Stegostoma tigrinum: one gene and its partner. The protein of the gene in region 2 interacts with the protein of the main gene of each other region in a biochemical or structural test. Links are inferred from orthologs where the notes say so. Each region holds a gene or a part of one and is shown on either strand. Other genes may lie near its edges.

Region 1 (6,929 bases), on a different chromosome or scaffold from region 2:
TGATAACCAAATAATCAGCACCCTCGTCTCATGCTGTGTGCAATTGTGTCCTTTTTTTCTCAAGTCTGCTTCTTGCATCCCTCTGCTGAGTACAAAATGAAAAGGTTTAACTTCTTACTGGCAACATGGAAAATGAGAACAGGACTAGGCCACCTCTTAATCCAACTCAATATACTGTTATTGCTTATCCCCCTACCTTTTCATCTCTTTAGGTGTAAGAACTAGATCTAACACCTTCTTGAAAACATTCAATCTTTTGACCTCAACTGCTTCCTGTGGCAGTGAATTCCAAAGGATCGCTACTGTCTGGGTGGAGAAATTTTTCATCTTAAATGAAAACCTACCTCATCTCCTTGCACTGTGACTCCTGGTTCTGGATTCCTCAGTCATCAGGAGCATCATTCCTGCATTTGCATTGTCTGGTCCTGTTAAAATATTTATAGGTTTCTATAAGCTACCCCTTGATTATCTAAACTTGCCCCCTTTAGCAATGTTTTAAGTACAATAATATTAAAACATATTAAGCCCTGAAGCCTCATCTTCTACATGAATGTTTACACATCAAATAGTAACTAATTTGATATCATTAATATTGTCTTCAAATCCGTTCTACACAGCTTTGTATACCACTCACTATTTTAGTTATTTAGTTAGATTCTACACAAACAGCAGAAAAAGTACAGCTGTTAGATAGCTGGGTTTGAATTCAAAACAGCATTGTAACTGAGGGTCTCAAGAGGTCATAACGGATACACGTTAGTGGATTCACTTGATCTAAGTTTAAATTGCTGCCACCTAGTGTGCTTTCACAGGATACAGAATTTTAGAACATTTTTCTCATTCATGAGCCTATCTTTCTGTAAAGTTGAGCTCACTCAGAACTCAGTTCATTATATCCTGTCCAAATCACTTCAGAGCCAAGATGTTACCTCTGTAATGATACAGAATCAAAGAATTGTTACAGTGCAGATGACAGCTATTCAGCTCATATTTGCCTCTGTGCTACAAACAATTACGAATCACTGAGTACCATACTCCTGCCCTTTCCCCATAATCCTGCACAAACTTCCTTTTTTGATTACAGTCTAATTCCCTTTTGAATGTTTCAATTGATTTTGCCTCTACCATACAATAAGTGCATTTCAGACCTTATCCATTAGTGCAAAAATATCTTCATGCCCTACAAACCTCCAAAAAAACTCTTCTGAGCTGCAAGTGTCTTTGAAGTACCTCAAGGACTGAACACCATTATAGGTTATCACCCTCTGATACAGGAGCCTGTTCTCACATACAAGAACGTTACGATTGCACTACAGATGGTGTAATGCAAATTCATTAGGATGTTGCCTGAGCTGGAGTGATTCAGCTATGAAGGGAGACTAAGTAACTGCAGGTAGTTTGCACGGAGAAGATTGAGAGATGGGTATGTGTATGAACCCGATTTGAGGTGTATAAAGTTCTGAGGGCGTTGACAGGACAGATCGGGAGAAACATTTCTGCTTAGCAGAAGGGTCAATAACTAGGCTTTTAAAGGTAAAGAGCAGGTGGTTTTGAGATTTGAGGATCTTGTGATTTTCCTAGAAGTTGGTAGGTAGCTGGAACTCTGTCTAAAAGGGGTAGTACAGACTGGAACCAGCAAGATATCGAAGACACACAAGGTTACACTGCAAAGAACTGGAAAATGGGATTAGAACAGATAGATGACTCATGACAATCACAGAGACAATAGGCAGAAAGGTCTTTTTTTCCATGCTGTAAGAACTATATGACATGACTATGCCATTTTATACTGTTTATTGCACCAGTCCATTTCATAGCTATATTGAAACTCGAAGCCTAAACACTTTTGATATTGCAACCCAGCTTTACGTGCCATGCTGAAGATAAACACAGCCTACTGGCAGTGCACCTTCTATGCCACCTCTCAACTTGGTCTGTGCCAGCCAGTTTTGAATGGGTGGATTCCAACAACAGTTGGAGGGAGCAAAAAGAATGGCAATTGCTGGAAAAGCTCAGCAGATCTGGCATCATTTGTGGACTGAAATCAGAATTAATGCTTCTGGTTCAGTGAGCCTTCCTCAAAACTGCTGGTAGGTAGCAAAATGTCCATTTATGTCCAGTAAGGGACAGGAGGGAGTAAAGGATAAGTGGAGAGAGAGCCCAAAGAGAGAGAGAGAGAGAGAGAGAGAGAGAGAGAGAGAAGAGCCCTTAGACAGACAAAGGAGTGATAATGGAACAAAAACAAAGTTGCTGGAAAAGATCAGCAGGACTAGCAGTACCTCTGAAGGAAAAAACTGAGTTAACGTTTCAGATCCCGTGACCCTTCCTCAGAACTGTTTCTGATTTACAGCATCCACAGTTGTTCTGGTTTTTATTTAAAGGAGTGATAATGATCTGGCTTCCAGCTATTAATGGGGATTCTTAGTTGCTAACAATGGGTTGTGTAACGTCAGCCTATGCGATGGCAAGGCCTGGTTGTGGGGGGATTGGCGTAAGTATATGGGAGAGCTCAAGCCCTAAAGTTGTTGAACTCGATAAGAGTCCGGAAGGTAGTAGGAACTGCAGATGCTGGAGAATCTGAGATAACAAGGTGTAGAGTTGGATGAACACAGCAGGCCAAGCAGCATCAGAGGAGCACGAAGGCTGACATTTTGGGTCTAGACCCTTCTTCAGAAATGGGGGAGGGGGAAGAGGATTCTGAAATAAATAGAAAGAAAGGGGAGGTGGATAGAAGATGGAATGACAAGAAGATAGGCAGAGAGGAGACAGACAGGTCAAATAGGCAGGAATGAAGCCAATAGAGGTGAGTGTAGGTGGGGAGGTAAGGAGGGGATAAATCAGTCCAGGGAGGACGGACAGGTCAAGGGGGCGGGATGACGTTAGTAGGAAGGAAATGGGAGTGCGGCTTGAGATGGGAGGAGGGGAAAGGTGGGAGGAAGGACAGGTTAGGGAAGCAGGGACAAGCTGGGCTGGTTTTGGGATGCAGTGGGGGGAGGAGAGATTCTGAAGCTTGTAAAGTCCACATTGATACCATTAGGCTGCAGGGTTCGCAAACAGAATGAGTTGTTGGGTTGCAGGAACAGCATTTCATATTCCACTTGGGAACCCTGCAGCCCAATAGTATCAATGTGGACTTCACAAGCATGAAAATCTCCCCTCCTCCCCCCGCATCCCAAATGCTTGGCCTGCTGTGTTCATCCAGCTCCACACTTTTATGTTGGCTCTTGCAGCATCTGCAGTTCCCATTATCCCAGCTCATCCCCAACTCCTCCTTCCTCCCACTTCAAGTCCTACCCCCATCTCCTACTTACTGACCTCATCCCACCCCCTTGACCTGTCCATCATCCCCAGACTGATCTATCTCCTCCCTACATCCCCAAATACACTCAGCTTTATTGTCTCAATGATGATGGATACTTGACCAGAAGGGGAAAAAAAGAAAATTCAGAAAGCATGCTTTGTAACAACAGTTCTACAGGAATATTAAAAGTGTTCACCAAATGGTTACAGCACATGAGACAGCCATTTAGCCCATTGTGCCAGTGCAATAATTCTGCAGAAGTTAAACTACTTGCACTCTCCTGCCTTTATTCTACAATTTTTCTCTAGATAATAATCCAATTTCTTTTTCTTTCCTTTCAATTTGCCCACACTCCCCCCACTGCATCCTAAAACCAGCCCAGCTTGTCCCCGCCTCCTTACCTACCCCGTTCTTCCTCTCACCCATCCCTTCCTCCCACCTCAAGCCGCACCTCCATTTCCTACCTACTAACCTCATCCCGCCTCCTTGACGGGTCCGTCTTCCCTGGACTGGCCTATCCCTCCCCACCTAAATTCTCCTCTCCACCTATCTACTTTTCTCCATCTTCGGTCCGCCTCCCCCTGTCTCCCTATTTATTCCAGAACCCTGTCCCCATCCCCCTCTCTGATGAAGGGTCTAGGCCCGAAACGTCAGCTTTTGTGCTCCTGAGATGCTGCTTGGCCTGCTGTGTTCATCCAGCTTCACACTTTGTTATCTGCGACTAGAATTGGCAAGTTTGCAATGTACGCGGAGCAGCAAGCCACACGTGGTTAAGCCAGAGGAAAAGGAATCAGAAAGTAACGCTTTACACATTCCATACTTTATAACATCGCATTCCATTTCAGAACACGCACTCATCCCAGACACCCACGCCTGCGCAACTACGGTACATGGTCATAGTCTCCTTGTCCTTGTCACGCCTCTTCTCCCCCCGCCCGCAACTACGCATGCTCACAACGCCATTTCAAAGTTACGTGCCTGACCAGTCTCGGAATGAGCGGATTGGTCAGTTTGTGCGAGGTCATGTGGCTTGTTTTGAGGGGCGAGGGGAAGGCGGTAGCGCAGCCAATCGGTGGCGCGGGAGCGAAATTCAAACGGGGACAGAGCAGCGCGATTGGCTGGAGCGGGGAGAGTTAACGGCAGCGGAAAGCCGCTCCGATTTTACAAACATAGGTGCAACATGCTAGCCGCTCACACTGTTACCGGGGCGAAGCCTCGGCAACCCCTGTCATACGCCGGTACTTTAGTGCTTTTGGGGCGAGTGGTTTCCACCGGGTCACTTACAAATGTTGCTCCGGGGTTAGGAAGGAACGGTCGATCGAGGCGGTTGTTTTATTTCTATGTTAACGTTGCTGGTGCTGTTGCCGCTTCAGTTTGCTGGCCGTTGCTAAAAATGTGGTTGCACTGATGGTGTCATGACTGCTTCTTTTTTGCCTTTACCCCACCCCCAGATCAAAGGCGCCAGAAATTAGAAGAGTATCTGCAGAGAAAGAAGTCTGCTAACAACGTGGCGATTCGAGCTAGGAGCCGTTTGGAAAACAGGTGATGGATGATCTCTGTGTGTATTAAATTGAGTTGCCAGTGAAATCACACTCCCCTCCTGCCCACACCTTTATCTCGGATTCTCCAGCATCTGCAGTTCCATTATCTCTTGACACTTCTAAATCCTGCTTTCAGAGGTTCCCCAGTTTGAGCTCCACCACAATATCTAATTCTGTGCATCGAGAGGCATTCCCTAACCTTCTGTGTCAATGCTTCTACCTGTTTTAAAATTTTGGCAATAACTGCTGGGGTATGGGAGATTTTGAAGCCATCACTTTTTTGCTGCAAGCGCAATAAATAGATTCAAATGCAAAAAGGCTTACTATGTTCCTTGACATTTTAAATCTTGTATTGTTTCCCCGCCCCGGGTGCGACATACCAGCTTTCTATTTTATTTGAGCCGTCATAATGTGCCCTTTATCTTTGCAGATTCTGTATTTCCAGCAGAGTTATACCCTAGGTCGAGGCTGGTTTGTTAAGTCGATTATAAGGTTCAAATAGTTCTAATCAGTAAGGGAATCAAGGGTTATGGGGAAAAGACAGGAAAGAAGAGTTGAGATAACAAGGTGTAGAGCTGGATGAACACAGCAGGCGAAGCAGCAGATGAGCAGGAAAGCTGACGGTTCGTGCCTAGACCCTTCAGAAATGAGTTGAAGAATTGAGGTTTATTAGATCAAGTCATGATTTCATTGAATGTTGAAACAGACTTGATGATCTACTTCTGTGTCTCATGATCACTGCTGTTGGTTGTTCAGTAAGTTGTGTCTCTGGCTTTCTGCAGTAAGATATGCTTGTTTGGTTTTTTATTGTAGTTCTGTAAATTTATTTATCTTCAAATAATTATCCAATTCTCTTTTGAAAATCATGTTTGATCTGCCTTCACTAGGCACTCTAGATTGTATATTTCCAGATGTTGGAATAACCTGTGTGTAAAAACAATCAAATCTGTCTTCATTTAGTTCTTTTGCCACTTACCCTTTCTAATCTTAGTTTAGACCATTTTGCTAAAGGGAACAACTACATTTTACTCTGTCCATACCTCTTGTGATTTCAAACACCTAGAAACTCCTAAAACACCTAAAGAGAATGGCCCCGGCTTCTGCAATTTGCCTGTGTAGGCAAAGTCCTTATACCTCCGCAGCAGCTAAAGCCATCTCCGCTTTCCAAATGTACTTTGGATATCTATTCCAATGTCCTTGCAATCAAGACCGCTTGCCTTCCTAATTGCTTGTTGTACTTGTGCCTTACTTTAGTGCTCCTCGGACAAGAAATTTATTTACATCTATGCTGGTAGCATTCTGAGTAACATTTGTTTATTTTCTGATTTAGTTCTATTCCAGTAACTTCGTATATAACCTGATGAGGTTATCTGGTTCACCACGATTTAATGAGCATCAGTTTATAATTTGCAATCTTATCTTTTCACTCCCTTCATTTGAAATTGTACAATGCTGTCTTGTCATTGTGATGTCATGACAGTGAAAATGTCTTTTCAAAAATGTTTCCCCTTATAGATGTTGAACTATTTTTAATGCTAATGGTAAGTGTATTTGTTTTCTTTAAGTTATTTGATTTGAAGGAGGCAAGCAATTTCTGACTACAATATTTTCCTGATTTATACTGATCATCATTTTCTTTTGAAGGGTGTATTTGAGAGACAAGACAAACATCGAGAAACTTCAGGCTTCTACAAGGCAGAAAGAGGCAATGGTAGGTACTGGAAGAAAAATATAGATTTCCTCCTTTTTCATGTGTTCTATCTTTGGATAGAAATTGCTCTGTTGGCTTTACATTTGAAAGCTTTACAGTTGTAGTTTTACAGGACAGTCTGTCCCAGGTTGTAAACAGGTTCCGTAGTTGAGTCCGTTCACAAGTTAATTTGTACGCAAGTTGGGACACAATGCAGAACAATATAGAAAGTACAGAAAGTGTTTACGTATTGGATTTTCAAAATTATTACATTGTCTGGGATCATGCTCATAAGTACGAGTGTTCATTAATTGGACATTTGAATTCAGGCCCCTATGTACTTTCCGTTGATAAATGTAAAGAAGTAAACACTTTTTTTTTCATTTGAATTACTCAG
Region 2 (7,423 bases):
TGCTACACAACGACCGAGCAAGTAGAGAATTAACAAGACCGTGCACTGGAAGAGAAAGTGAATTAGAAATACAAATCCAAATACTTGGATATAGGCAAAACTTTCTAATATGTACAAACAGGTCAGATCATATAAAGTCATTTACTGATCATGGTGCTATATTGTGAAGGAACAGAAGTCAGCTCAGGCCAATGTACAAATCACTGACCATAGTTGAAGAGAACGAGGAAGAACACTCTGATGATAATATGTAGAATGATAGCAATGAACAGCAAGACAACCAAGTTTTCAAAAATGTCTAACAGAAAACAACAAGTATGTCTCCAGTTGCAGACACGATCACCAGATCAGGACTAGTTATCAAACCTCAAAAGCATTACATTGCTTTCTGAAATGTTAGTCTTGCAAACTCTGTTTTACATTGTCTATATGATTATTCAATTAACAACACATAGATCATAGATCATAGATTCCCTACAGTGTGGAAACGGGCCCTTCGGCCCAATAAGTCCACACCGAGCCCCACAGCATCTCACCCAGATCCACCCCACATAACCCACCTAATCTACACATCCCTGAACATGACGGATGGAATCAAACCTGGTTCCTTTGCACTGTGAGGTTGCAGTTCTAAACACTGCGACACCATGCCGTCCCATTAATTGATGAAAACAACTGTCGCCAGGCAAAAGCAAGCTCAACATTCAGCAGACTCATCCATAGAAATCCATAGAAACCCTAACCCTATCGCAGCCTCTCTGATGAAGGGTCTAGGCCCGAAGCGTCAGCTTTTGTGCTCCTGAGATGCTGCTTGGCCTGCTGTGTTCATCCAGCCTCACATTTTATTATCATAGAAATCATGGAGTTGGTTTTGAAACATATATCAAAATTTACCAGGCAGCAGTCATCACATGCTCATGTAAAACCATGTTCATCTATTTGATTTTGCTTTGTCTTAGGAAAAGGGCGGTGTTGTGTTACATACCAGAATCAGCATGTCAGCATTTTTTTTAGATTAATTCCCTACAGTGTGGAAACAGGCCTTTCGGCCCAACAAGTCCACACTGCCACTTGAAGCATCCCACCGAGGCCCATCTCCCTATAACCCACACACCCCTGAACACTACGGACAATTTAGCATGGCTGAGCCACCTAGCCTGCACATCAGTGAACTGTGGAAGGAAACTGGGGCACCCGGAGGAAACCCACGCAGACACAGGGAGAATGTGCAAACTCCACACAGACAGTCATGCGAGGTGGGAATCAAACCCGCGTCCCTGGTGCTGTGAGGCTGCAGTGCTAACCACTGAGCCACCGTGCCGCCCTAAAACATGACTTCCTGAGGCTGAGCACTAACCGGACCAGGAAATATAGGCTGCCTCCAGACTTGAACTCGGATCGCAGTGTTCAGAAACCCACGTGCTCACCATTACACCATGGCAGCCGGAGCGTGTTTTTAAGAGATTTGCTAATGATATCATCACTGTTTCATTGCATATGACAAGAGTACAAATGTCTCATCCTCCATCTACCTTGGATCACTTGAAGCATGACGCTCCACTAGAAGCATGCTCCTCTGATGTAACCTAATAGCTTAATATTAGCACTGACACATATATGCCTGAGAAATGTAATATTTATACCTAATAGTTATAATAAACATCTGCTAGATTCTTCAATACTATGTTTCAGTTAAAATACCGTGCTGACAAACTAGGCATTAGACAAACTAACGCCACATCAGTTGCAATGAGTTGGCACTATATTGGCATAGGGGCTACAAAGTGTGTGGACTGAGTACAGCAGCATTGAGGCTTTCAAGTATCATGAGTGCATTTATGGGCACAGGTAGGAATGGAGAGTAAGTGGAGCTCTGGGGTTAGGTTCAGTGATGAATTTAGGAACACGGTTTGGCATGGATGGGGACGGGTCTACGAGGGGCATGAGGGCTGTTTTATGATATTTTTAAACTTCAACAAATTGCTAAACTCAGAGGATCCTGCCAACTCCACACTTACCGGCCTCTGTGTTTGTCATGCAGCCCATCTTGCATAACACCTGCAAGCCCCAAAATGAAAATCCCGGCTGCCTCCTGGAAATTGTCCTGATTCTAAGCTCTTGACCTAATAGTGAAACTTCAGACTCAGGTCTACATTCTACTGGAGAAAATTCTCCTGAACACGAGTGGAATTCTCTTTCCCCTCTTTGCCCTCTACACTGCTACTAGCCAGTCTATATTTGTACAATTAAAGCCCTCTACTCTCTAAAATTTCTTTGGGAATTTGTTTTGCTGCAACTTTCCCGTTAGTTGGTAGTCAGAAGAACTACCAAAGCAAAGTAATCGCACAGTTTTTTTGTTCCTTAACTCTAACCAAATTGATTCTGTCCTTGACCCCTTTGGGACATTCTCATTTTCCAGCACTGAAATGCTCTTCTTGATTAATACCAACAGACCTTCCCTTTTCACAGTTTCCTCTCTTTCATGATCAGCTTGTATTCAGGAATATTAAACACCCAGTCTGGATGTTCCTTAAGACAGGTCTCTGCATATGTCCATAATACCAAACTTCCACATGACAATCTGTGCCTATCAACCTATTTACTACACTCTATGCGTTCCCATACATGCTTACTGACCTTGACTTAAACTATATTACTTTCTTCTTTATTCTCAACTCACCTGATAATTTACTCTTTCCCAGAATTTGTGCACCTTGATAGTCTTCTGTGATATCAGTTCCTGGTTCCCACACTCTCTTCATCCACTTTTTTTTCTTTGTCTTATTCCTTTCTTCCTCTTCTTTTCTCAGTTTTTAGTTTTAGCTCAAACTTACCTGATAAAGAGAGCTCTTCAGTAGGAAGGCATTTTCAATAAGCTCCAGAGCGGAGGCAGCATCTTCAGAGGCAAACTTCAGGTAAGTTTGAGCTAAAACTAAAAACTGAGAGAAGAAGAGGAAGAAAGGAATAAGACAAAGAAAAAAAGTGGATGAAGAGAGTGTGGGAACCAGGAACTAATATCACAGAAGACTATCAAGGTGTCTACAGAGTCGGCCAGCCTATGAAGCCTGCAGTGGGCCCCTGGGGGGGTGGGGGGGTGGCAGCACGGCACAGGCTGGTGTAGTACGGAGTGAGACTTTGGCAGCGGCATGGCATGTGCTGGGAAACCTGGAGCATGACTTGGGTGGCGGTAAGGCATGGCAGGGAAGCCCAGAGTGGGATTTTGAAAGCGGCATGCTATGGACTGGTGAAGCAGAGAAGGAAAAGTTGGGCTCTCTTTAAGTTATCTTTCTTCACTTTTTATTTCAAATGAATGTGAATGGTGTCTATGCATGGCAAAGGTACACACTTTTCACTGTATTTTATACTGAATACATGTGACAATAAATGATTTGCTTCAATTCACTTCAGATCAAAGGAGGCAGACCCTGACAGGGGCCAAGGGCAAACAGTGGAAGGAACGTGCAAAGATTTAAGTGTCTCAGCCATCCATTCACCAGCTTCAGCAAACAGCACTGTCCCAACTACAAAAGGCTTTGTGGATCCAGCACTGGACTTTTTACTTACTTCAGGACCCACAACACCAGAACAGAAGATCATGTCCAGAGTGTGTCTTGATGGACAGAATCCATGTTGTGGCAGAGGGAAGAGCTGTCATTCTCGATTCTGAAGGACTGCCTGAGGAGAAGGATATGAAATTGACTGAGAAAAGGTTCTAGTTTGACCTTGTTGGCTGGAAACAAATGCTGAAGAAAAAGTGAATCTTTAAAGCCAAGTGGAAGTCATCTCCTGACAAATTGTTTTTCAAAAAGATGTGCTTGTCCAAAGGAATTGTTTGGGATGCTAGGGAAAGGTAATGTTGCTTTTTGATGGTTCAAGAGATTAAGGTCATTAACAGTCCCATTGAGCTCACCTGAGGGAGCTGGGAATCCCATTTTCCCAAAGCACTTTCCTTGGGATTCCTTTTTCAGCTGGTTTGAGGTGATAGACCTGGCACTGTCTATGGGCACTGTGTAGATCTGCTCGTTCCAATGTCAAATGCTGCTAGTGAGAATTACAGCACCAGGGGCAGCTCTTTGAGGAATTTGACAGTCATTCCATTACAGGAAAGGTGATGACAGAGGTGAGATGTCGATGGTGGACAATGTCAACGGATGGTAGAATCAGGAGGTGAGTCTGTAAGAGACGGATTTGAGTCTCTGCAGGCAATGAAACTGAGAAAGGTTGAAGATGGAGAGGAAGAGAGGAGAGAAGCTAATGAGTGAGGGGGTAAATTGGTGGAAGGTGGAGACTGGAAGAGGGGAGAGTCGGAGGAGGGGTGTGGGGACGCTGAGGGAGGGAGATAGGCGAAGGCAGAGGGAGGTGGGACTGAACCTGACGCTGACTCCTCCCTGGGCACTGTCCTGAACTCGTGTCTCCACCCACATCCTCTTTCTCACTTCCTCATTGCGATCTGTGACTCAAAAGAAAGTGGACCGTCGGTAGGTTCCCGGTCTGGCCGTGTCTCCGGCTCCGCAGGTAAGGGGAGCCGCAGCTTAATGTTGGGTTTCTGACAGTGCTTGATTCGGACTAAGCTCTGCTTTGTAAAGACCCCCGTTGTTAGCAGTTTGCCTGAGGAGCAGGTTGTTTCACGTTGACTCACAGGCTGTAAACCTGCGGTTAAAGTTTTGGGAAAGATTGCTCAATGCACAACGTTTCAAAACATTGTGTAGTACCCGACAAATAGGTGCTAATTTCAAATTTTAGGATAACCAGGAGATCAATACGTTACCAGAAAATTCATTTTAATTTTCACGCCAGTTGTTTATGTTTTATATAATTCATTCACGGAGCGTGGGCGTCACTGGCTATACCAGTATTTATTACCTATGCCTAATTGCCTAGAGGGCAGTTAAGAGTCAATACTAGGGAGATAGCAAGAACTGCAGATGCCGGAATCACACTGCGGTGTGGTGGTGGAGGAACCCGGCAGACCAGGCAGCATCGGAGCAGTAGGGAAGTTGACGTTTCAGGTCAGGACCCTGGATCTGGAGTCACATGTAGGCCAGACCTGGTGGTCTAAATTCAGACTATTCTCCAGTTCTTGCTTGAAATGATTAGCAGTAATAGCTTATGGGGTTGGTTAATACTCTTGTTATTTATAATTTCTTCATAGTGATTTGGGGGTTAGATCACAGGTCAATCCGGTGTTTGGCTATAAGATGTAGGGGCAAAATTAGGCCACCTGGCCCCATAAATCAGCTCCACCAGTTGATCATGTTTCTCAAATCCATTCTTCAGCCTTCTCCCTGTAATCTTTGGTCCCCTTTACAGATCAAGAACTAAGTCTGACTTAAATACAACAGTACATATTGGAAGTATAGGACAAGTTGAATCTGACCACAGATAGTGATCAAGTCTGTTTTCACCAACATCCATATATCCACACATCTCAGCTGGGTACTCGAGTTTACTCCCTCAGTCCAAAGATGTGCAGGCTAAGTGGATTGGCCGTGCTAAATTGCCCATAGTGTTCAAGGATGTGTAGATTAGGTGGGTTTGGGGAATGAGTCTGGGTGGGATTCTCTGAGGGTCATTGTGGACTTGTTAGGCCACTGTAGAAATTCTATGGATCAGCAACATGAACTAAGCGTAGGTGTTCGACAAAGCTTTGTGGAACATCTAGGCTTGGTTCATGACAAATGACTGCACCTCCCAGTCGCTAACCGCTTCAACTCCCCTTCCCATTCCTTGGACGACATGTCCATCTGGGCCGCCTCCAGTACCACAACGATGCCCCCGAAGGCTGCAGGAATTGCACCTCATATTTAGTCTGGGAACCCTGCGGCTCAATGGAGTCAATGTGGACTTCGCGAGCTTCAACATCTCCCTTCCCCTGACCTCATTCCAAAACCAGCTCAGCTCATGTCTGCCTCATTGACTTGTCTGTCTTTTCTCCCACCTATTTGCTCCTTCCATCTCACTGATCAACCCTCATCCCTGCCTCCTTGACCTGTTTGTGCTCCCTCAACTGAGCAATCCCCATCCCAAATCCCTACGTACACTCAACTTTACTGGCTCAGTCCCTGCTGCCTCGACCTGTCTGTCTTCTCTCCACCTATCTGCTCCTTTATCCAACTTCCATCATCGCCTCCCCACCTCTCGTTCTTTTTTCATTGTCCCCTATCCCTCCCCCATTTCTGAAGAAGGGTTCAGACCCAAAATGTCAGCTTTCTTGCTCCTCTGATGTTGCCTGGCCTGTTGTGTTCATCCAGCTCTACACCTTGTTATCTTTAACTAGCAACTGTTTTTATTACTTGAGAGGATTGTGGCTCTAAACTGCCCACACTTCTGGAGCTGTGAACCTTATCTCTAGCACAAATGGGACATGTCAGATTAATTATAGCCTCATAAATCTTCATCAAGATAAGAATGGGGAAAAGTAGAGTGGCTAGAAGCAGCTAAATAATAGTCTTAATCTTAGTGACAGAGAAGTTGCTGAACTCTTGGACTTACTGGAGGGAATTTAAGGAGCTCAGAATGGAGTTGAGGAGATAGTAATGCAGAAAAGGAGTAGGGTTAATTTTGTTCTCCATAATGGTACTGGTTAATAAGTGAATGGCCACACAGGGATTGATGTGGCCCAGCTAGATCTGATGATGAATTGCTAAACTAGTTCTGTGTTGGACCTATTCAAGTCTGTGTCCTTTCTGATTGTGTGAATAAAGATGGGACAATATTAGAAAATACTAATAAAGAATTTTTTTTACAACTGGAATTGCTGCTAAATAGGGAGATAGCGAAGTAACTAAGCACTTGGACAGTAGTGGAAATATCCTGGTGAATAGGCCGCTTAAGGGTTTGAAAAAGTTGCTTCCACGGTGAATGCAGAAGGATGTTGCTTGAGAAAGTGGAAGTGGAGCATGGGTTGCACGAGAAAGTGAACAGAAATTCTCACTAATGTTCTGTGGTCGAGACAACGAAACTGGAGAAGCTGGGAAGCTGGAAAGGACAAGGGAATGGCCATGACTCTGTGAAAGTTAGAGACAGAGGATGGCAGTGAGATCAAAGAGAAACGGCAATATTGTGGATTGAGGTCGAAATCCATACAGTCTGAATTGTGTCTTAGTATAGGGAACAAGGGGGAAAAAAAGATTGAAGGAATGTCTTTGAGAGAACCTTTGAGTGAATGGGAGAGTGTGAACATTTTGGAAGGGGTATGGTGGAAGTGTGAGGACCTCAAAGGAGGAGAAGGTGCCTTGAGCATTTAGTGGGAACAATCAAGGTACTTTGGAGTGCAGGTACATAGTTCCTTGCAGTTGGAGTTGCAGGGACACAAGATTGTGAAGAAGGCTTTTAGCATGCTTGCATTGAGTATAGAAATTGAGCTAACAAGGTGCGGAGCTGGATGAACGCAGCAGGCCAAGCAGCATCTTAGGACCAGGAA

The links.
Region 1: the proteins of lrrk1 (region 2) and cytoskeleton-associated protein 2-like form a complex in vitro, tested with the Homo sapiens proteins (2 studies listed by BioGRID and IntAct, with this or other methods). The link is inferred for Stegostoma tigrinum from reciprocal best matches to the Homo sapiens genes LRRK1 and CKAP2.

Annotation. Positions count from the first base shown.
Region 1 is NC_081359.1:88,411,859-88,418,787, forward strand, and holds the start of cytoskeleton-associated protein 2-like, read left to right. Parts: upstream 1-3,929; 5' UTR 3,930-3,971; coding exon 3,972-4,098; intron 4,099-4,121; exon of another isoform or gene 4,122-4,211; intron 4,212-4,411; exon of another isoform or gene 4,412-4,481; coding exon of another isoform or gene 4,482-4,539; intron 4,540-4,752; coding exon 4,753-4,843; intron 4,844-6,486; coding exon 6,487-6,553; intron 6,554-6,929. UniProt on the Homo sapiens protein: Possesses microtubule stabilizing properties. Involved in regulating aneuploidy, cell cycling, and cell death in a p53/TP53-dependent manner.
Region 2 is NC_081386.1:1,579,991-1,587,413, reverse strand, and holds the start of lrrk1 (leucine-rich repeat serine/threonine-protein kinase 1), read left to right. Parts: upstream 1-4,415; 5' UTR 4,416-4,515; intron 4,516-7,423.